2 linked regions of the Drosophila melanogaster genome follow. The protein of the gene in region 2 purifies or fractionates together with the protein of the main gene of each other region. This does not show direct contact. Each region holds a gene or a part of one and is shown on either strand. Other genes may lie near its edges. The genes, in order: Ssadh and Drat.

Region 1 (15,577 bases), on a different chromosome or scaffold from region 2:
TCCGAGTGTATTTGCAATTTGTGCGGATATCGCACGCAGCTGGATGGCCAGCAGCTACCGCAATCCGTAACCATCATGTATCTGCTCCGTGAGCTGCCAGCTTTGATTCTGGGCAGAGCCATGTTGGATTTTTCGTACAAAAGGAGCAGCACTATTGAAATGTCTATTGAAGAAGCACCCAGCAGCCCATCGAAAAACTGGGTGGAAGACATCAACGTGGAGAGCTTTCTGGCCACCAGTGCGGAGCACTGTTTCATCCATGCCATGCCGAACTCCACGTGGTGTCACAATTGCCAACGTCTGCTGTGCCGTGCCTGCTCGGATGTCCCATTGCACCAGGACCATATCCTGGTGCGCCAGGTTGATTACCATGACCTTATCAGCCAACTGCTCAACTCCGAGTTGAGGAAGATCAAGAGCACGGCTGTCCATGCCAAAGAGTTGGCCACCCACGAAATGGATCTACTACGCGAGCTGTGCGAGGCGTGCTACCGCGTTCAGTTGCATGTGAAGCGTGAGATGCTGGAACACCATTCTAGCATGGTTGCGGCCTCGATGATCGGTTGGCATCGACTAGCCGAGCGGGATCTGCATCGAGTCGGTAGACTTACTGGAGCAAAAATGCTGCAGGTGCTCGCCCACTTGGCCACACAGCGGCAGCGATACGAGCGCCAGTTGGACCAGGTGCACTTTCAATGTCGAATGCAAGCCGCAATTCAGGAGAACGGGATGCAGGTCCTGGACTTTGAGACTCTGAATAACAGGATCGCACGGCTACGCAGTCATCGTCGGCCCGGTGCTATTCCCGCCAATGTGGGGCCACCGCAGGCGCTCATCCTCACCAACTACTGTGTGTACGCCTACTGGTGCGAGATGCAGCGCGAAATGATTCCTCCACGCCACAGGAATCTGACACCGGATCCAGAATTACTGCCGGAACCGCGGCGAGCTGTGGTGCCTCCGCATTTCAATAATAGCCTGCGGGAGGTGGAACTTCTGGATTATGTGCAGCAGATCGAACTCGAGCAGTTTCGAACGCTCAGTCAACCTCCGTATGATGGTTCACACGAATCCTCCTCGTCGCCGAACAGCAGCAGCAGTACAAACAGCCAAAGCAATTATATTGCTCTAGACACGGAATATGGACTTCGAGAATTGGTGCGCCAGTTGCAACAGCAGCCGCAGCAAGTGCAACAGGAACAGCAGCAGCAGCAGCAGCAAGTACACCAGCTTACCCACTCAATTTACCAGCCAGATGCGATTCTCGTCAACTCGGTGGAGCCGCAGCTAATTGGTCAACAAAGCCATGATCATCATCGACAGGATGGCGGTACGAGTTCATCGGTAAGCATTGTGCGTCAGCCCATCGTTCACTGTTACCCCATCTACTTTCTGGACATGGAAATAGCAGGAGAACTGGCCGGACGGGTCCTAATCGAGGTGCGATCTGATGCTGCTCCCCGGATGGCGGACAACTTTGGGGCGCTGGTGCGGCACGAGCGGGGCTATGGCTATCGTGGCTGCACTGTCTTTCAGGCCTGGGGAGGCGAGAGCATCATCACCGGCGACTTTGAATCGCAGAACGGACGCGGTGGGCACTCGGCCTTTGAGAGCAGATACTTTTTGCCAGACGAAACGGGATTGCCGGCACATCGGGGAACGGTTGGTATGCGCAGGGGACAGCGGCGACAGGACAGAAGTGGATTTGTGGGCAGCCAATTTCGGCTGGTGCTAAACGAGATGCGATCCTTCACCGCCATTTTCGGATTCATTGTCCAGGGCATTGAGCTGGTGGACCGAATTGCGGCCAGTGGCAATGCTCTAGGACGCCCGGCCCTTAGGAGCATTATCCGGAATTGTGGGGAATATCATTTAAACCAATAATAAGTCCGACTGATCCATTAGCTAATCCTACTTATCGAACAGTATCAAACCGAAAGCTCCTAAACACTTTGAATGTACAACACCACCCAATATCTATTTTATTCTTGGAATGCAAATCTTGGTATAAATTTTGTAAAAATAAACGATCAATGTAAGACACTTGAAACTCGACATTTTCAGCAACAGAAGCCAATTTTTTTAACAAAGAAAGAAAGAATTTTTATAAACAATTTACAACTTATTGAAACGTTTTGGATGCTATTTTAAATAAAAAAAAGACTATCAATGATCTATAAACATTTCAGATTCATGGACAAGGTGGAAATTGTAACAGACCTTGAGTATTTAAATAAGTTTAGCTTAAGGAAAACGACACTAAATGTGCGTTGGAGCGCTACGACGATACCTGGATATAGTAAATTAGCTACAATAAAAACTTAAAAATTTGAAACCACGAGTAAGGTGAAATCCAAATACATAGCTGACATGTAATTAATGTCAATTCAAGTTAATAATTAATATGAAATAAACCTATTAGCAATAAGTAAATAAACGAGATAGTTTTCGGTGTCTAAATATGCATTTGATGTGATCATAACTAAGGCTATGTTTGTGATGGATGAAATAATGAACGCCAAGAATAGCCATCCATAAAAATAAGGGAATCAAGTAATAATATGACCTTAGCGATGTAAAGGAAGGCAAAGAATCTTTTTAGGAACAAATCGAAATCAATTTTACGAAATTTGTAGACTTATTATACTTTAAATTATTTTAAGTAATCAATCAATCAACGATTAACTTCAATTGAAAAGAAAAAAATCAAATCGAAATCTTATATTTTCCAAAATAATAAAAACGCGTATCACAATTAAGCATTAGATAGAACAAAACAGTTTGGCAAAATAAAAATAAATAAAAAAAAATAAGGGTAATAACTGGAAAATTGTGATTGGCTTGGCAGTTGCTCAGAAAGTTATTTTAACAATTGAATATGCGCTAAATAACAACATTGTTTATGAATGTCCTAGGTATAGGAAAAATAAAATGAACGTTTGAAGGAGAACCCAGAGCAATGATGAGAAGTACAAACCGAGAAGGATAAGGAAAATAATGAAGTTGTTCCATAAATAAATCAACGTAATCCAAGATAATGTAAGCCTCTAGATGTCAAATGTTTGAATTGGCGTTGCTCTTGACACCCAAATTTTCTTTGCATGTATCAAACTGAAAAACCAAATCCCATTCGTATTGATGTCTAAATATGGAAGTTGTTTGTGTAAATGTGTGAACGTAATTCAATAAAGGTTGCCCGATAACTGATTTTGCTTGAATGGGGGGGAGACTTTCTAACTTACCTTATAGAAAACGTCGGGAACATACTGCTTGTCCGTGGATTCACGCACGTAGCCCAGCTCGGGCGCATCCTTAGTGGGTATCAGACAATTATCGCGCACCAGAGCCATGCACTGAGCCGAAACCGCATAGCCTTCCATGTGCACTTGTTTGGTTTTATCTCCTGTAATGTTAAAAACTATTTTGGTACTAGTTCATTAAGCAGTATTAAATCGTGAATCTTACCTGTTACACAAATGGTCACAAACTTAGAGCCGAAGACGCCATTGGAGGCATATTTACACGGATTTGGATGTCGATTCTGCAGCTCGCCAGCTGTGATGCACTCCTGGGCCGTAATAAAGTGCGACTCGATGCCACGGATCTGTTTGACAGTGCCGATACTCGCATCGTCCGTGATGAGATCAGTGAAAATCCAACCAATCTATAAATGTCACAAAAGTCAATACTAATGCTACATAGCTACTGTCTATAACTAACTAACCTTCTTCAGTCCCAGCGCACTGGCTACGGCATCCACATCGTCGGCGAACTCATCCGGCTGAATATTGATCGAATCCCTGGTAGACTCTTGTGGCGGCTCATAAATGGCAGCCACCTTGGCCCGAATGCCCAACGGAACATCAGTGTGCTGCTCGTACGTCCCATACAGATATCCCATGCGCTGGTGTCCTGTGGTGCGCCAGTAGTTGAGGAAGCGCTCCACGATCTTAGTGTTCTCGAACATGACGTTGTCCACGTGGCGATATGTCTGACGATTCAGCGTAATGGCCGACGGCTGGCACTTGGAGCAGATGCCCTTGGGCCATGGTGGATGCTCGCGACATCCCGGCTTGATGCGGCAATTGATGTCGTCGAAGACAAAGTACTTGCCCTGATCCATGCCGGATGTCTGCTTTCGTATGTACGAGTGGAAGGACAAGTGCTTGATATTGTGCTCCTTCAGATAGGACTCATCATAGGGCTCCAGTGCGGAGCAGTGAACGCAACGGCCGTTGGCATTGTGGTGGCACCTACAAAAAGTTATAGGTTGATCAGTTTAATTTTACAATTAATTGTATAATCAAGGCCTACAGCTTGCTATCACGTTCGCGCTTAATGGTGCCATCAGCCTTGCTCAGAGCCTGGTCCACGTCATCTTCGATCACATTGAAGGATGGACGAGCGCTGTTTGGATTGCTAATGGTGCTAGTCTTGAACGCCTGACTGTCCAGGACAGTGGTGCTAGTGCGCTGAGAAGTGGTGAAAAATGCAGGTTAGTCCCCGATCGTTCTGCTCTATATGATCAACTTACGCGCGATGATGTGCCAGCCATCTGTTTTAAGTAGACCATGTCGCCATGCCTCAAGGAAGTCCCCACCAGCTGGGAGCCACTTGCCTGCAGCTCTGTGAGGAAGTTGCGCTCCTTGAAGAGACCAAATCCATCCACCTTCAGGGCATTCTGAACGCTGTCGTACAGATGCTTTAGATTTGACTTGGGCGAGATCTCGATGCGTTTGATGCCCTCCGCCGACTGAACGCGAATTAGCTGGAATTAACAAATGAATAACAGATTCTAATTAGTACTAGGACAGGTGAATTTGGCAATTTCTGATCCAACCGATTGTTTACATAACACAAACAGACGATGGCGCACAAAGGCGTAGGCGAAATTGCGCTTCTTGTAGATGAATTGCTCGAGCAGCAGTGGTGCACAGGCCATTTTCTGGACTTTCTGGACGGGTCACTGGGTGATGGGCGGTTGGGTGGGCTCTTGTGTGGGCGGTGGTGGGTGGTAGATTGGGTAAGGGGGATTGTCAAGTGTAGCTATTAGCTACCAAAGCCTGTAGGGCTTTTTGCTTAGTGTTTCGAACTGTACGTCATGAAGGCGCGAACTTGACTGCGGAAATTTATCTGGCATCGCAATTAAAAACAAATGCAATTCGTTGCCAAAATGAGTGCATAGTTAAAAAGAGAACTAATGCCTGTATATGTAAATTCGGATCTGTAATTGTATGAGCTTTAAATAAAAAATAAAACAGCATTTTGAAAGACAAGCTGCATGCAGTTTTAAAACAAAAAAATTATATTAAATTTGTATTTAAAATTTTAAGTTGTGCTATTTACTGGTATGTGCAGTTTTCTTATTTTACAAAACATATATTTCAAAAATTAATTTTACGCAGAGACATTTTTCTGAGTGTAGCACCCTATCAACCAGAAATTGCTTTATTAGACAGAAATATCCTCAAATGCATTTCCCCCAGGCGGATTGCAGCCAACAATTGTTAATAATTTATTTGGTTTTTGGATCGGTTTTTGGTCTCAAAACCCCCGCACACTCCCCTCAGTCCTACTGCCGCCTAGACTGCACTCTTTCAGTGGAAAATCTACAAGTCATGGTACCATTCAATTTCACCGCCAGCACCTTTGGCCGCATTTCGGGACTTGCAGTGGATTTGCACTGCCGGGAGTGCTTCCAAATGGGTTCATTATGCATTATATGCTTCGCTTTTGCCGGCTGAAATGCACTTTAAATATATTTTCCATACATTTAGGCAACAACAACAAACGCCAGCGAACTGGAAAACCGACATTGTTTGCCGGCTTTTTTGGTGGGTAGCTATAGGGAAACACTTGACCAATTTCACTGCACACACTTCACCAATAAGACATTCGCTTAGTTTCCACCCTAAATGCACTTTTTAATTTTTTATCAACAATTTACTTACAATTTTGTCATTTGGCATTGTAATTTTGTCTCTGTCTCTGTCGCACAGCTGTGGGGATGGCGATAGTCTGCCCAGAGGTGGAGAAAAATCGATTACTCCCGGATATCGATGTCTCTATGATCGGTTTCTTGTCAATTTAAAGCGATTGTTAACCAATCCCAATTAATCGAAAGGTGAGGCGGGCTATTTTAAAAAAGGGAAATTATCTATTAGCTTCAGGTAGACTTTGTGCACATTTATTAATATAGCGGCGTGTTATTCTACAATTAGACAACAATAAACCAATCGCATTCTAGTGGAAGACAGCGTATGAAAGCAGTGGGGGTGATCCCTCCATCGGACTTCAGTCGTACTTGAGGTTGCCCATGCAAATGTACTTGATGTCCACATAGTCGTCGATACCGTGTTTGGAACCCTCCCGTCCGACACCGGACTCCTTGACGCCACCAAACGGAGCCTCTGCTGCGGAGATGATGCCTTCGTTGACGCCGACCATGCCAACCTCCAGTCGCTTGGCCACCCGGAACACCTGCTGCAGATTCTCGCTGTAGAAGTAACCGGCCAGGCCTCTCCTGGTGTCGTTTGCCTTCTTTACCGCTTCTTCTTCGTCTCGGAACCGTATGATGGAGACCACTGGACCAAAGACCTCCTCCGAGTAGAGTTGCGCCGAGGGTGGCACATCTGTGACAATTGTGGGTGCGTAGAAAAGGGATCCCTTGTCGGGCAACGGCTGTCCGCCCAGAATAATGTTCGCCTTCTTCGACCTGGCGTCCTCCACAAAGCCACTGACTTTGTTGAACTGCATCTCGTTGATCAGTGGTCCGATTTGCACATCGCAACCCTGACCATCTCCGATCTTCAAAGCTTCCACGCGTTTTTTCAGCTGCCCAACAAACTTATCGTAGACGCTGTCCTGGACAAAGAATCTATTGGCGGAGACGCAGGTCTGTCCGCAATTCCTAAACTTCGAGGCCATGGCGCCATCCACTGCTTTTTCAATGTCCGCCGAATCGAAGACAATGAACGGAGCATTGCCGCCGAGCTCGAGACAAATCCTTTTGATGCCATCAGCAGAGTTCCGGAACAGCAGTTTGCCCACCTCAGTGGAGCCCGTGAAGGATATACCCCTAACATCGGGACTCTTGCAGAAGAGATCGCCAATGGGAGCCGCTTTGTTTGTGGTGACCACATTTATCACACCCTTTGGAATGCCAGCGTCCACTGCCAATTTGGCCACAGCCAGGGCAGTAAGAGGAGTGTCTTCTGAAGGTTTCACCACGACCGTACATCCTGCGGCCAGGGCGGCTCCTGCTTTCCTCGTAATCATAGCCATCGGGAAGTTCCAGGGCGTAATCAGCGCCGCCACCCCAATGGGCTGCTTCATTACTATGATTTCGCGATTGGGCGATGCACTGGGCACAATTTCGCCGTAGATGCGACGGGCCTCCTCTGCAAACCACTCGACGAAGGCGTTTCCGTAGGCCACCTCCCCCTTCGACTCGTTGATCGGCTTGCCCGACTCGGCCGTCATTATCTCGGCTATCTCCTGCGAGTGCTGCTCGATCAGTTTGTGCCACTTCTGCAAGACGAGATTAGATTAGATAAGCAGAAGTAACTTGGAGACCAGAGGAAGAAATAATGACAATGACCTACAGTCGAACTTTCCAACTCTATAGTCCCATCATATTATATGATGGTCTTTATCTGTGGGGTCAACAATCAGCACCCCTGATAACGAGTGATCCCGGCACTCACCTTGAGCAGGTTGGACCGATCCTTGGCGGTCAGGGATCGCCACTCCTTGGACTCGTACGCCTGCTTAGCGGCGTCTATGGCCTTCTGGGCATCCGCCACCGTCATGTTGGGCACTTTGCCGATGACAGCACCATTGGCAGGATTCCGCACCTCGAAGGTCGCCTTTGCATTGCTGGAATCCACCCAGGCGCCATCCACCAGGGCCTTATCCTGCACCAGTGCCGAGAATCCTCGCATTCTGCAGAGGCTTAGGCTGCTTCCTGTTCGTGCGACTCCGCTGAGCTGTCGCCACATTCTGCCGGCTGCTAGAAATAAACAAACTAATTGCAATTAACAATTGGCTACTAATCGATTATTAACCGGTATGTGAGTTCGCTTGCTTTATCACCTTTTTATCACCTGCGGGGGGTTAGAGGCGTTTCTCTTATCTGCGACGTTATCGGGAAGACTCTCTGCTGTCCACAGCTGCAGTTCTAGCTTCTATTGGGCGCTTTGATTGGATTTAATTGATTTTAATTTTTTACGCTCCGAACCAGCAGAGCCTTAGAAACTGCCAACTCGTTTTTTTACTATCAACAGCAGATGTTCGCGCTCTTAGGAGCTGCCAACTGGCAGTCGCGAGTGAACCGCGAAAAATGTACCATTTGAAAAAAAAGAACTGCTTGATAACATTTACTTTTTAATTTACTCGCAGCGGATATTAAAAACATATTTTCAGCTTTTAAAAATATAAAATATTTAATAGAAGTACATCCATAACGCAAAAAATAAGAACCTAAATATCATATATTGATTTGCCATAAATATTTCGCCTGCTGTTATCGAATGACTTCGAGCTATCGATCTTCAGTTATGCAGCAATCACCTTCTGTCAGGCAACTGGGCGGCAGCCGTTTGACTTTCAAAAAGAAAAAGGGAACGACAAAAAAAAGAAAGTCCATTCCAAGTAAACTTCCTGATTCCCATTTTTAGTCGTTGCTTTTCAGCGATTTTAAGGCAGCGCCACTTGTCCCAGCAATCTCCGGACAATCGGTGCCTTTCGCCCGATCTGCCCGATCTTTTTTGCATGCGCCGCCAACGTGGAGCACTGTGCTCCATTTATTATGACTTTGTAGCCAGGCATCACGACCATAGATTTCACATATGCCGGCAGCGGTTCTGTCAGAAGGTGGGTCTCCTAACCCATCCTAAGCACTTAGAAAAATGTGTGCACTTAGGGCTTAAATTTGTAAAAATTAGACCGATATTCAGACAACTATCAGTTCTTTGTAACCACATTTTCCATAAAGTTTTAAGGATAAGCCAGAAAATGTTTTGTATAAATATTATAATACTAATAATTTTCTACATTTTACTTCAAATAGAAGTTAAGCTCCATTCATCTTTTTCTTAATACTCTTTTTGCTAAGTGCCATTTAGCATTAGACAGCGGTAGGTTCTGCCTACTGGGCTACTGGTCATGGAGCTTCCTCCTCCGGCGCCTCACCTGGTTGGGGCTTCCCTTCGCCCAGGAGCCCGCAATCTGTGTTGCAAATTTTGTCAATAAATTTTGGCTAAGAATGCCAAAACAGGCGGCCGCCACACGGACATCATAACTGTTAAGATAAGATTGTCCAGATGGCGATCGCATCCCCGGACCAGAACTGGAGCTACGGAATGAATTCAATTAGTTGTGATTTAAAACTAATTGAAAATGCGTCTAGCTCGGAAGCAATCGTGAATGCTGCCGGCTCCTGTCGATAGGTGTTTAAGTTATTTGTCTTAAGTGCTGCCGGGAGGTGTGTTTCCATGTCCCATTCCAGACTGATCAAGATCAGGATGCACGGAGAGAAATATTTCATATACTCATGAGTTGATATATCACAAAATCAGTATACCTAGTTAGCATAACATACTATTAGAATCCTTAAGAAGAGCTCTTCGGTCCCGTAACCCCTGTATCTTTTATGTTTTAAGAAGATATGTATGCGTATTTTAAAAAGCTAATCATTGAATAATAAGATAAAAGTATCTGCTTATTAGGTGAACATTTTGTCAGTGTTACCTTTTCAGCGAAGGCTCATCAGGAACCCATCTAATGAAGCAGTCAGTCAGTCAGTCAGTTCGTTGGCACTCGAAACCAATCTAATGTCTACTTAACTGCACAATTTTGACAGTTTTAATGCGCTGCCATGGCCGGCGAATTTATGGGGCCCCTGGTTTTTATAGAATGCAAACAATTGACAGCCCAGAAATAGGCAGCCGTGTGCCTTTTGTGCCGGCTAATTGTAATACGAAATCATAACACGCCATAAAAACGACACAAAGCTGGAAAGATGCGATCGCATCGTATCGTATAGTATAGTATAGGGATCATGGTCTTTGGGACCGGTTCTTCTGTGCTGTTTTCTATGTCTTTCGAGGCGGAGGCCCTGTGGAAGCCCAAGACGCCGCCCTGGCAGCTGGTCAATGGGAACAATGATGTGGCATTGGCCATCTCTTTCGTTGCAAAGATGCTCCGTCTCTTTCCATTTCGGTAGGATTCCAATACACTCTCTAACGCGAGGCAGTCGAGCCATAAATCATGTTTGGAAACACGTTCCTTAACGCGAGAATAAGAATAAAACATCTGTTGTTCGGTTGCTGTCGGTTTGGGATCTGATCTGGTTGCCTGGCAGCTTTCTTGCGAGGACAAAGGACTCGCAAGCTTAGGGCGCAAACTGGTTGCCAATTGTCCTGGCAATGTGGCAATGTGGCAAGATGGCACGAAAACAAAACAGCCGCCGAACAGATAAGTGTCGTGATCGACTCATGCAACAGCAGCAGCTGCTCCTCGGAATCAGCCATCCGAGGATGGGTTACAAATTAACCCATTGAGGACACGGAGGGCGGGTAATATAGTTCCCAAGCCAATAGCCAATATGCTATTCGAGAATTTCATTACTTTGTGCTTAGTTATGCACAAGTATCTCTATATGATAACTAATTGATATAGCATTGCTTCTTTATAAAGGAATACTTAATATCATTGGTATCATATATTTATTTGCCTTGGGGTTGGCAATATAAATGGGGCAGAGCTTAAGCTTTTATAGGGTTAATCTTCGAAAATGGCCGCGGCTTGCAGGATAACAGCTTTTCAGATATATGTGGGCTCTGTCGCTCCTGTTTCCTATCCCTCTGGCCGGTTCGGATTCGGATCCTGGTGGAGATCCTGCTGACTCACCTTGGCACGTGTGCTTAACGATCGCATCTGCAGCTGCTGGCAAGTCAAGTCGCAGGGAAATCGAAGAAGGACGCAGAAGGATAGAGACGGAGCTGAAGACGAGGACGAGGTCGGAGCAGCTGCCAAGATTCCTTAATTTCGAATGTCCCATCCTGAACCTGAACGAGGCGTCCTGAATGCGTCAGCAGATTAGCTCTGTCCGGGTGGAAGCAACACGTGTGCGCTTGTGATTGCGATCCCGGCGCAGGATACCCTCTCCTTTCCCCTATAACGAGCCTATTTCTTCCTTCTTTATTTTATTTTTTTTTTTGTGTATAGAAGGTCCCCGCAGCCTGGCTTAATTATTGTTTACCTTCGCATCAAGGTTACGGCATTATGATTATGCCCTACTTGATTATTATTTCATAATTCCGCCGCCCATTGTGTACCTCTCCACTTTCCCCGGCGTGTCCTGGCATGCACTGGAACTCGATCTCGTTGTCCTTGGGCCGCACAAAACGATCCCTTATCCGTATCCATTGTTGTCCTTCGATGTACGAAAATACGCCTGGCCAACCCCAAAGAATTCACACAACCGATCACCCGAATATTAAAGATTCCGAAATCTAGGCGTATCATAATACCCTTCGAAATGAATTGAAAATTGCTTTCCTAACGAGTGCTTTTGTGAAAATATCTTTCTTCCAGGCGCATCAAATTAAATTGTTATGTGAAAGAAAATTTCGAAAATTTCCCAAGTCAAAAAGTTTTTCATTTCCGATAATTTGATTGATTTCGGCGGGATTATGGTATCCTGCAGAGCAGAGGAGTTGAGTGTTATGTTTCAAACTTGTATTTTGCTAGTGTAAATATATGAAGTTTAGATTAATCCATTTGATTTGTAATTTCAAAACAGCATTGTGCAATAATTTATTATCTAAGGGTATTTTAATTACGAACTTCCTTTCGACCATTCATATTTATCTGCGCATAATCCTTCTGTTCGTCCTTCTGTTGTCTCTGGATAGGAAATATTAAATTGCGCATTCCGTTCGCGTCTCCTTCCCCAAAAGTTGGTAAAGTTCAAATTTGGTACATTTATTGCGACTTACTCATTGCGAAACCTGGATCTCCAAAAGTTGGGGTTGATTTTGAACTAGAAAATAAGCACAAATGCACTGCAATTATATTTGGTTCCTTTGGTTCATAACTGTCAAATATAATTGTCAAATGAAGAGAGTATTTACTTATAAACATTTTTAAATACAATTTCTTAACTTACTTATGTTACTTTAAGTTACATATGTACATAATCTACATTATTATCAGAAGAAGGTATTTTTCTTGCAGTGTAAAAGCAAATCAGCGTAGAATGGAAGACCTGAGCTCTTCACCAACTGCTAGGATTGGAAAAACTGTACCGAAAATCGCTTAAAAGCGCGTAAAACCTAGTTTCAAAAGCAATCGAACGAACTACGCATTGGGATTTGATCCTGGCATGAATCATACATACATGTGTGCGCTAGCATTGTTTTGTATAATTTATGCAACCCCAACCCCAACGCACAATGCCAAAGGCAGGGCGGAAATGGGGTGGCTCTGCTGCGCCACCCTCCCCTCCCCCTCCCCTTGCAGCATCTCCATCTATGGGGTAGTTCGATGGCAGGATGGTACACAAGAAAAAAGCGACTATGCTTAAGAAAAGGAAATTCCAAGACCTACAATACATGCATTTTATCACTAAAAAATATGCTATTCTATACATTTCACTTGGAAAACGCTTTACTAAAATACCATGATCTTTTAAAGATCCTTACTTGAGTTTAAGTGCTGAATTTCTTTGAGTGCACGCCTGGTGCTGTTCCTGGTGGATACCAGAAAAGTCTGTTGCGTAGTCCTGGTTCAATTGCGTCGTCGAGGGATTCTCACGCTGGATTTTCCCAGTTTCTGTCCTTGGCCCTGCCCTTATCCGTGTCCTTATTCATGTCCTTGCCCTTGTCCCTGATCCCTGTTGCCTGATGCCTGATGCCCGGTCCGTTTTCTTTGCATTTTTCCACGTTGGCTTGTTGTGTTTTTGATTTGGGTAGGCCTCAGTTGGTTTCGCCTTTGTGGGCATAATTATGCCTCCGTTCTGGAACCACCGCATTGCATTCACATTTAAATCCGGTGCAGTGCAACATTTCTCATTTCTCAGATCGCATTTCCGCTTAATTGTCTGCGATTGTAACTGGCCAAAAAGGATGGGAATAAACATATAATGGAAAGGAAGCGGGATGAGGACGAGATGATCGCGATGATCATTCGAAAAGCTCACGGCAGCTGTTGTCTCTTATTTTCGCCAAGTTTATGCCAATCGCCCGAAACGCATAAACATATCAAATTACGACTATCGAATTTTGTAAAAACCGGAAGTTTTTTCGTCTTTTAAATCGACAAAGACAAAAGCCCACTTCATTGGCGGCATTTTCTTTTCATTATTATTTTAATTTACACGCAAATTCTCATAAATTTCGACAGATCATCTCATGCAACGCCCTTGAGTGGACCAAAAATAAAATAAAGAAATAAAGGATCTCCTCACCGGCGATCTTGAACTTTGCGTACCATTTCGATTTTCGATCGCTTGATTTGCTTTCAAGTCGCTGCAAATACGATTTCTGTTACATTTTTGTCGAGTTTAAGTTGGCATTTGTTTGTATTGAACAAACAGAGGTGATCGCACTGCAAACAAATAAATCAGCACTCGTAAAACAACGGCGATCATTGGAGTTCAGTGGAAGATTGGGTGAGATCTTCTCTGCGAGATGGGGTTAGCTTCACCTCCAGGCGTAGGTGAAGTTCATTGACGCCTCAGTTGGGCTACTTAATCTCCATTGCTAACAGAATCTGTATGTGAAACTAGTCACTCAGATTTTTTATACTTAAAAGACGTTTTATCATCATCTGGCTTATTTGTTGTAATCCTTTTAATAACGTATGTTTAGTGGCCTTGCTAATAAATCCCGCTATTAAGTCAATGTTCCCGCTGATCTGGCGGCTTATCCCCCAGCTGAGAATGCAAATCCATCAAGATTGAATGCTCGAGTGCCTCACTACTGGAAGATTGTGCGCTTAGATCGCTTTGCAGCCATATGTGTGATAATGCCAAATTTGCACACCATCGATCGGATGGATGGGCCAGTTGCCCGAGGAGGGTTATTCGCGCTAACAACTTCATTGCGGACCACGGACAAGATTGCAAATTGCGAGAGATCGATCAAAAATACTTTCACCTTGGCTCAAATGAGTCGTGAAATTCGGTCTTGCGCAAGAATCCTGCAAATGCAATTTGCCACAGAGGGGTTCCAATGTATCGAGATGATCCATCCGTTTTAGTGCTGCTGCCTATTGTCCTTTTTTTGGGCCTAAGCCGCAAGCAAATTTGTTTGCCGCTCGAGATCGATCATTTTTGGGATCGTAAATCACGGCAGGATGTGCAGGACCAGTGTCCTTTTGTCTTTGCCCTGCCATTGTGCTCGAAATGTTGTTTTTCTTTCGGCTTTTATTTCTGCTTTCCTCTACTGTTTGCATTTCGAAATGCAAAATATGAGCAAAAAGGGAAAGGAGGCTGAGACGAAGAAATGCTGACCGATCTTTTGGCGATATGCAAACATCTGCCATTGGCCCTGTTTACTTGCCTTTCGACCACTCCGCACCGCTGAACACAACTGTACCGAGGATTTGGTAGAGATCTTCGTTCGCACTTATTCCTCATCAATTAGCTACGTGATCTACCAGGAATCGGTGTAAGGATCATAGTGGAACCAATCACTCCACACCTGTTATTTAGGACACTATTAGCTACGTGAGCGCGCCTCGCGATCTTCACTCAAGAAAACTCAAGACCACGTAGGATCAAACGTATGCATGCATTTCTACCAGCAGAGCAGCCCGAAAAGGCTTAGGCCAAACCTGTTGGTCCGCCTAATGCCGCACATTAATTCAATAGGCCACGAAGGAGGATCGTGGGTTCGTTCATGCATGTAGATCACCGCAGCGGATCAAAATAAAGATCGAAATGCAGACTGAAAGCCTGAAGTTTGAAAACAGTCGGGTAAAGAGGACCAAAACAGGTACAGGTAGTTCAAATCCTCTGTCTGCGGCTCGTCTACAGGATTAGCGTTAGAAAAAGGATCGATGAATGCGCCAAGGATCTGGCCGCCGATCGCCAAGTGAAGAGGAATCCCTTACAGGCTCGGTCCATTCCAATCCATTCGGGCGGAAGTAACAGCTGCTGCCGCTGATTCTTGGGTCCTGATCACCATCTTTTCGGTCCATGTAAGATGGGTTGGCAATTATCGATGCTGCAGCTGTAAAAATGCCGAAAAACAACAGACCCATAAAGACGGAATCAATGCGAAAGCTTCGCTCCCACACAAAAAGCTTCCTGCGGCTACGATCGTTCCGGTGCACTGCCACAAAAAGTCGAGCATCTTGAAAGTATTCTTTGTTCTCAAAGTACTAAATAGCAACAATTTATGATTCTTCCCCTTTTTTTAAGTACGACAAGACGTATAGCTTATAATGAATGCAGTTTTGGAAATTGTATAATATCTTCTTGCAGTGTGGAAGACTCTCTTCTGGCCCAAAGATGCATCTCTGTGTTTGAGCCTGTTCTTCTTCTTCGACGGCTGTCGTTGTCGCACCT
Region 2 (9,382 bases):
CAGTTACAGATTTAATTTGGCACTTATAAGCCAATAAAGTTACAGAAACTTTGATCCTAAGAACTCGAGCGAAGTTACGTTTTGATTGTACCATTATAATAATGTTGAAACTTTGTACTATAGCTTAGAGTCATGCTGAAAAAGCCGCGGAGCAAGTATGATGTAATTATTGTTATTAATTACTATTAAAAGCAAACAAGTTGTTTCGCCTCAATTGTGCTGAGTGATAAGCTAAAGTAATTTTAGCCAAACTCTTCAAGGTGGCCGAGTGCAATTGAATCGATGATAAGCGTATCTCATAATTATTTTCACAATTCTTTAAACTTTTACATAGTCCAACTTAGCCTTATCTAATTTCGATGATTATATTGTAATTACTGTGTTGGTTTATATATGACAAATCGGAACATACATATGCAGGAAACACATTGAATAAGATTCGTCAAAATAAACTGATCATGTTGAATAAATAACGAATAAACACGTAAAAAATAATCTTTAGATCCAGCAAACGCTCTAAAATCTGGAAGTCTAATTTGCGATTTGTCTGGTGATGCTGTTACGCAGATAGCAAGGTAACAGTAGCTAATGTTATTCCTTAAGATGGAAGAGGACCAAGCGGATCAGATTAGGGGCATGTTTTAAACATGGACTGGGGATGGCTGCGGTCGATAGGCGGACTGAAACTTTGGAATGGAATTATAAATTAGATGCTTGGTCACTCTCACTATTGTTATTTTCAGCGTGTACCTAAAGTGCAACGTCATCGTTAGATCGGAATTTTCACAGAGCTTATCTTAGATCCCGCAGATAGCGGGAATGCTTGTGTAGTCTATATGTATAGATTTGGTGATGACCCTACTGCTGCGTCAGGGTGATACACTTTTCGGAGCCGGCGGCAGTCGGTTTGTCGGTGGTGCACTTGCATAAGAATCCGAATTCAAATCGGAGTCCGTTAATCAAATGAGATGCAAATGCAGACGCGGATTTCGCTTAACACTTGACCCTCGTCGCCCATCACACACATATATACATGTATGCAAATGGATAGTTTCGCCATGTGGAGCTCTTTCGACAGCTGGGCGAAAGTGGCTGCTGGAAGTTTCGACGTCGCAGCAAATCTGCGAAATCCGGACGCAGGTCAAACTACCGTCCGGGGGTCAAAGTACAGACCTAATTGCCCCGCGATGCAAGTTAGAGTCGCTACATGTGGCTACGTGGGCTTGGGCTTGTGCTGGGGCTGGGCCCATTAGCTCATCGGGACAAGTGAAACCCAGATAAGGCCCAATAGCAAACGATGACCCCCATTTAGTGGTGGGAGCGGGTGCGGGGCGGTGGCACTCAGCTGCGACGTGTTCCGTGCGATTCTCACCTCGTTGAGGAAGGCGGTGACGTCGTAGATGTTGTTGTGTATGAGCAGCCAGGTGTCCTTGTTCGTGTTGTGCTTGGCGACCTCGGCCCGCGTGAAAGTCTTTGTTTCCTCGCTCGACATGGTGATCACTTGTTGATTTCTACTGCGCGTTTGATTTGTGTCACGGAAAAACTATTTGTCCAGCCTCGCACTCTTCCTCCAGGGCGCACGGTCTCACAGAACTGGTGGCCGGCGGTCACACTGGCGCGCAGCAAGATGGCTTGTTTACACCAACGCCTATCGATATCGAATAGTGACCGTTTAGACTAGCCAGATTGTTTGTGGTATGAGCACATATTTTATTATAATATATAATAGCTTATAACTTATTTATCTAGCTTATAATTTGTTTACAGCACCCAATACACAATATATCGGATTTGGAGCGGTGGTTATGCGATGCGATTGTATAGTGGATCACGGCTATTTTACCATCGACATGTAAAGAATACTGCATACTTTTGGGCGCGATAAGACCAGTGCTCCAAAGCACCTCATTAATTTTGGCGCCCAATTTGAAATGTGAGAAAACCCTTTAGTGAAATAAACGATTCAAATGAAATGTACAAACAAAATTCGTAAGCAAATTTATTTTGGGCAGACCATTTCATTAATAAAAATGTATTTCGAGCGGTATCCCAGCGAACTGGTTCCACCAGCGACGAATGCGCAGACTCGGATCTTGTATTTACACTCAAGCCCTGCCTTTATTCCATACTCGGCAAAGGAGACTTCAAAGTCAAACGTATCCTGCTGTACGCCGTGCGGCTGCGGCGCTCCTTCAATAAAAACAGTCGACACGCATTGTGAAGAGTTTTCCAAAAGCTACAGCGCTGTCCAATAGCGCAATTCAAGTTAACAACAAACTAAGCATAAATATATTGATAAGTGACGGCGGGTGTGCTTTTGATACGCAGCGCTTTTAGCTTTTTTACAAAGGTAAGTTCCTTATTACGCAATTGGCATCCTGGAGTGGCCTACGTGCGGTGGCCATTTTCTTGGGTCCGATTTCCTTTCTCTGGTATACATCCACCACTATGTTTCCTTTTCCGCTTCGCTGATGCGTAATTCAAGTGACGGGATTTATGCGTTAAAAAGTTATTAAGTTTTGCCAACTTCAATCATGCCCTTGGATCCCGATTTACGCGTGTTCTGGAGCCCCGTGGGTAAACAACTCTTATGGGGGACAATCCAAAACTGAGTCGAGTGGCCCGTAAATCATTCAGATTGTTTGTGTCTTCGGGTTATCAGCACCTGGAGATTTGACTGGCCAGTAAACACTTACCAGCCGGGGGATACCTGTGCAAGGTGTTAGGAGAAGCACCCAAGCTCTGGATTTATGTATCCATTGCGGGTTATATGCGATATTCTTGGGGTAGGCGTAATGTGATTGATTACTTGTCAGAATAGTGGAGTATAATGCCAAAATTAGGTGTGGGTTTGGTTTATATATAGATATAGTATACTTATTATAACCCATTTAAACGCAATCGACGATTGTAAATTAGTACCACACACGCACTACTGGAAAACAAGAAAAACAAAGTCGGAAACTCAGATCTTGATTGCGATCGAAGGCATTATTCTCACTCACACAAAGGCTCTAAAAATAGCCCTGTTCCTGCATATTTTTTACACCGAGAGTTCACTTCGGTTGGCCGCCAGCGATTCAATTAAATTTTATGTCTCATTGCTGCATAATTGACGACATTTTCCGTTTCGGGCGGGGAAAAGGTGAGACAGTGGTCAACATTTTCCTGGCGCGACAGCACCACTAAATTTGCATTGCCAATCCGTCATTAGACTCGATTGATTCCGCCATTAAATACAATTGACTAGAATTGACGAACAAATGTTTTCAATTCAAGCGCAACAAAAAAAATGAATAAATAAATAATTCAGTAAATATTTTTCTTGCTCGATGATCTTTTGATCCGTACATCGAATGGGGAGGGGGGGGGGGTGGTATATCTTCGAGGGACGGATTTTAATTGGTCAGAAAAAGAGTTCGTTCAGTCGCTGTTTTTAATTGAACACATACTGTTTTTAATTGTGGCTTTTGCGAATTTCGTTCAACGAATTGTTATGTCACTTTCGCTTTCACCTTCGACCAGATTAAGGTTAAACAACTTAAATATCGCCACGAAGTCTTAATGTTTATAAATGTAAAGTGAAACGATGATAAATCTTATCTTATTCTTTGTTGTGTTTTTGCAAGAAATTTCATTGTTAATGATTTAATATACATATTTGATGTTTGCATATGGCATATGTAAGTTAATAATAAGTAAATGTGTACTTATTCATTGATATAGGGGTTGTTAACACCAATAAGTAACTTGTTTTGACCATTTTGCTGAAGTTCTGCCTAATTATGAAAATAATTCTTCTCAGTGTTTGAGGCTGTTGATTAACCCCAAAAAGTAATACATACATATGTATAAATGTAAATATATACATATATGTATGTACGTACATACATTTTTTGGTAAGGATGCAAATGTGTAAAACGTAACTGCGTAAATGTAAGGCGTATTTATAGCGGCTTATTTACGCATTGTTGTTGTGTGGGCCGTACAAAGAAGAACAACAAAGCAGAGGAAGGATGCCCATTTATGCATTCGTGCTGCGCCAAGGAGCGAGCGAGACAGAGAGACAAATTGAGTGAGGGAGAGAAAAGAAAAACAACGCGCTCCCTCTCTCACTCACTCACTGTCTGGGCATGCCACTCAGGCGTGATTATCATGCAGCGAGCACGTGTACATGACTTTGGTTTTGTTTTGCTTGCCGCTGCCCCCTCACCAACGCCTATCAGTTTCTTCTCAACGTTTCATTACCATGCAAACATCCACCGTTCCTCGCTCCGCAAACACAAGCAACAACAATCGCAAACAGTTAGAGGTGCGCACACACGACATACGTAGATACACAGATGCATACATAGATACAGCAAGCTAACAGTTTGATGCATTGATTGAGATAAAGATACAAAATGAGAGTACCGACAAAAATAATTTTTCTTACCAAAAAGAAGATATGTAACTAGATTTAGCTAAATACCCAGAACCTGAAAAGCTTAGAACATTCGCTTTCATAAAGTAACACTGTAAGTATCTATCTATCTATACACCATGCATATGTAAGTTGTTTGTTTATTTGGCTTTCGAGTGAAGGCCGCACGACGCATTTTAATTGCATATTGCAAGCATTTGATAAATTTCCACTCGAGGCAGACCGCTTCCATTTTTCCATTTTCCACTGGAGTCCAACGCTTTGCTTGCGATTAACTGTTACCACCCGCCGAGAATGATGAGAATCAAATCGTGACGTGACTAATGGGGCATCCTCCTCCGATCTGCCTAGCAGCTTTCTAAGAAGAACATATTGTCATCGAAAGTTCTATAAACGGATCCGATGGCCACTTGGCAACGTGCTCTAGATGGCTTCCGTTCTTGGAGGGGTTTTTGGCCAGCTCCTGGACTTTGTTTTGGCCATAAATCTGTCGCACGCGTTTGCCTAATGCATTTGTTGTTCTTTATTAAATTGTTTTGATTGCTCTGCCTGTGGGCTTGTTTTTCTCTCGACTTCTGCGTCCTCCGTGTTAATTCGAATGTGTAAACAAAAGATAAACAACAATCTGGTTCAAGTACACTGCTACAATATTGGGCAAACTGATATCAACATATGTACATATCAATAGAAGAAGTTCAAAAACCAATTAGAGGAATTTATGAATGTTTATTGAAAATATATGCAAAACATTAAACAAAAGCAATAGAATGTTTATTTTCCAGTGGTGTAAGTAATAGTTGTCTATAAATAAATGTGAAATGCTCCGAAATTCACAAAATATGGAAATGCATTTCTATAGATGCAAATGCGGCCATGCAATCCACACAAATGAATACACTCATTTCAAATGTTTCACGCATTCCCTGCGTGCCGTGTATGTGAGCACACAGTGGCGTGCGGATGGTTTAACCAAGGGGTTAAGGATTACTAAGCTGAGTAAGCAGAGTTTTGGAGTTAAATTTAGCAACTAAGAGTGCTGTTGGAATTTAAACTTAAGTTTACATTTTGCAATCTAATGTAATCAGGGATAAATGAATTTATTTGATGCTTTTTAGTAAAGGTTTAAGAGAGTTTTTCAAAACTGAGATAAAAAGGTTGATAGTATTCCGTGAGTAATCTTTTACCACTATCTTTAAAAACGAAATTTATATGTATGCTTATATGTAAACCCACGAATGGCATACAATATTATTTGTTGGATAGATGAATTTGCGACCCCCTTTGCTGGGCCCCTGTGCGTGATGAGTGCGTGTGTGGCTGTGTGAGAGTTCCACTCGTTCCATTTCGTCACCGGCTTTTTTGCTTTTTAGCTGCCGCATCGAGTGAAGCGGCTCAGATGTTCTTTGGAAGTGCGCTGGTCAAGTCGTCGGAAAAGCGCCGAGAAGCAATTGCAGCTAAAGAAAAATCTAGCCAATTCACAAGTAAAAGTGTTAGTCAGTTTGTATAATAAATACACAACGCAGTTGAGTTGCAGTAGTGCAAAAAAACAAAAAAAAAAAAAAAGTGAAAAAATTAACAGAGAACAATTACGAGGACAGCAAAATGCCGGTCGATATATGCAGTCAACCGCACAATTTGCTCAGTTCAATGAGGTAAACTATTAAACGATGCTGATTGAATTTTCCCCATTCTCCCCAATCGAGTTTTCCAATTACCATGGCCTCTAAAGTGAAAATGCAATATGTATCGGGAAAATATCTTGAGTCTTAGGATTTCTTTTAATTTTTATTAGTTTTTAATAGCGTGTTTAATTTAGAGATTTTACTCACAGTTTTGAGTCATAAATTCTCCCAAAAAAGTACAAATGGGAAAAAATTGTGTAAATTTTAAGTATAAATAATTGTTTTTTGTTTTTTAATAATGTGGCATTTATTGCTAGCTGGTGCACTGAGATAAAAACTGATCCCTTATGGTTTCAATTGAGCACTTCCAGAGTTGAAATCATAGAAAAGTAACGAAAGTGCAAGTGGAGTAAGCTCTGATATGATACGATTCGTCACCATCTCTTATCAAACTAATTGAAGCGCCAGACTTCAGACCAGACTAATATCCGATATTATATCTGATATCTTTATGGCCATGGCTTTCCGGCTTTGCTGTATATTAACCAAATCTAATGTGTCCGATTCTAGCTCTATCTTTTGTCAGTTTATTGATGTGGAGTGATTCGTATCTGGATTGTCAGCAAGTCCAATACTTGACCTTTTAGATGTGTGCTCACTGTAATTACAGCACACAAAAAGTAGCTACATTAATGATATTTACATCGAGAACTCTGAATTGTGGCTGGCATTGAAGATCAAGATAGTCGTTTAGAGTGTTTGTATATAGGAAAGGCGAAATAGAACTGCCATATCATGAGGCGGCATTGAAACTATTGAGAACTACGCAATGCGACCTTGGATATGTAATACGCAATCGAAGCTATAGCAATCAAAAACAATCAGAGATATACATATCTTTAAATATATTTAGCTATCAAATAAAGGGTAATTCTCAAGGGATAATCAATTAAAAATCAGAATATATGTACAAAGATACAAAGATATATTTTCGAAATGAGCAAGCCAAGTTTAGTGACCATTTAATTCTTAATGGCAACACCTCTAAATATGATGTATCCATTCCTTTGTCTGATTGCAGTGGAACAACAGATACCTCGTTGTCGCTGAACTCATTGTCCCTGACTTCCGTTCTGCCGCCAACGGATCCCGATCACCATAATCCACACAGTACACACAGTACGCACAACATGAACAAGCTGTGCCGCCAAGTGTCAATTGAGTCGCCCGGTCCGGGCGCCAAGAACTGCGTCTTCAACTTCTTCGTGCCCATCGAGGACACGCCGGCGTTGGGCGCCCGCATCCGGATCGTTTGCGCCGGAGCCTGCTATCGTCGTCGCGATCGCGCCAACTCCATCACCAGCATGTCCTCAGTGTCCTCGGAGCTGAGCGACTACTGTCCGTCGGTGAACTCGATGTCCTCGCCCGCACACCAGGGCATCCGGGAGGGCTCCTTCTTTCCCGGCTTCGAGGTGGCCGGCGTCATCGAGTCCCTGGGCTCGGAGATCACCGAGGCCAACAACCGTGGCCTGCGCATTGGACAGCGCGTGATCGTCTATCCGTTCGATGAGACCCCAGCCGGCTATGCCGAGCTGCTGGTCGTGCCGGACCTGAAGCACGTGGTGCCCATTCCCGACAGTCTGCCCATGGAGGTGGCCGCCATGCTGCCGACGGGCGCCCTGCTCGCCTGGAATGCCGTCTTCAAGGCTCAGGCCGTTGTCACACAGATTCTCAGCCAGCGGGCTGCCACGGAGCCGAAGCGGAAGCCCAAGATCCTCATCGTGGGCACTGGCGGCCTGGCACTCTGGGCCGTGCGCATCGCCTCCTATCACTTTGCCACAACTGGAGCCGACAACGTGGACATCACAGTGGCCAGTCTGCGGGACGAGGGCTTCCGCCTGGCCACAGAAATCAAAAAGTAAGCATCTTGAGGTCCCTCTGATGTGTCATGCTCTAACCATCTAACATCCTCCTCCTTCCTCCAGTGTCAGCGTGGTCCAGTGGAACGAATGCCTGTACGAGCCGCAGCTGATCGAGCGCACCAAGGACGTGTGCGGCGGAGCCGTGGACGTGGTCATTGACTTTGGCACAACCTCCAGGAGTCTGCACCGCTCGATGCACTGCTTGTCGAAGGGCGGCGTTGTGCTGATCAGCGACGAGGTGGCCGAGAAGCTGCTGCCCAAGTTCTCGCGCCTGTCGGAGCAGTACCAGCAGGAGATCATCGCCATCTCGAACGGCACCGCCGAGCAGCTGGCTGAGCTGGTGGAGCTGGTAGCCAACAAGAAGATCGAGCCGCCGCCGCACTCCGTCTTCCCCTGCGAGCAGGCGGCCGAGGTCATCGCCAAGCTGTGCAACTCCGAGATACCCGGACGCGCCATCCTCCGTTTCCACGACATTGAGTAGGCGTGGAGGAGGATATGGTTCCCCATCAAGGCATTAACTCATTTAATATGGATATCTGTTAGCTGTATTCGGAAGACAACCGACAAAACCGACAAAACAACCTGCAACCTGCGACACTCTCGAAGCGGATTCAGAAATGTGCTTATTTTGTAGCCGGTCATTGTTTTGTAACCTTAATTTTGGACTGCAGACGAACTCCTCGTTTTAATTGATTTAGCGTTTTAGGCATTTTTAGTATTATGTACATATAGATTGTGATTTATTTTATTTGTAAGCCACCACCATGATTCTACTTTTGCAAAGTCACCCATCACATCGCCATATTAGCCGGAGTCAAAATTCGGCGGCTTCTTCAATGATTTTCGATTAAGCAAAAAGCCCAGCAGAAGCGGATTACAAAATAAATGTTATACATACTATACACGAAATTGTTACGCATGCGATGCAAATGTTTGATTCAATTGCTTGATGTTTGTACTCATTACGTACCCAACATTATACTCTACTCTTATTCACAAATAAAAACCATTAACTATCAATCCATGGGGGCTGATCTAGGTTGCAACTGCTTTTCCTGATATTTCTTAGGTGCCTCCGTAGGATGGCCAATTTGGCCTCTATATGCTAATCTTTCTTTAGCATACTGTTCCTTTTTTCAAAAGATATTGTAGGCAATATCATTCGATTACAAAGAGTATATCATCGCTAGCATAAAATTGATGTATAGATATCAAATTAGTTTCAGGACAGACTAGTTTTAGCCGATGAAGCTTAAGGTGCAGCAAATTTTCACTTTAAAAACGTTTTTTTTTTAGTTTCAAATGTAACAGCTATTTTTAAAGGTGAGCAACAAACAGATGTGGCAACCCCATAAGCGCTTCTCTTATGGTTGGCAGCCCAAGCCGGACTGATTGGTGTTGGAAAACGCCGCAGG

The links.
Region 1: the proteins of Drat (region 2) and Ssadh purify together in Drosophila melanogaster (affinity purification with mass spectrometry, with the first as the bait; one large-scale study listed by BioGRID). This does not show direct contact.

Annotation. Positions count from the first base shown.
Region 1 is NT_033777.3:25,618,638-25,634,214, forward strand, and holds Ssadh (succinic semialdehyde dehydrogenase), read right to left. Parts: upstream 8,288-15,577; 5' UTR 8,095-8,287; intron 8,027-8,094; 5' UTR 8,001-8,026; coding exon 7,707-8,000; intron 7,531-7,706; coding exon 6,295-7,530; 3' UTR 6,168-6,294; downstream 1-6,167. Other genes in the region: Npl4 (nuclear protein localization 4), read right to left, coding at 3,243-3,403, 3,466-3,664, 3,725-4,253, 4,315-4,472, 4,535-4,768, 4,841-4,942; CG5071 (uncharacterized protein), read left to right, coding at 1-1,884.
Region 2 is NT_033778.4:7,525,721-7,535,102, reverse strand, and holds Drat (death resistor Adh domain containing target), read left to right. Parts: upstream 1-5,812; 5' UTR 5,813-6,025; coding exon 6,026-6,075; intron 6,076-7,126; coding exon 7,127-7,963; intron 7,964-8,030; coding exon 8,031-8,448; 3' UTR 8,449-8,868; downstream 8,869-9,382. Other genes in the region: Cyt-b5 (cytochrome b5), read right to left, coding at 1,373-1,492.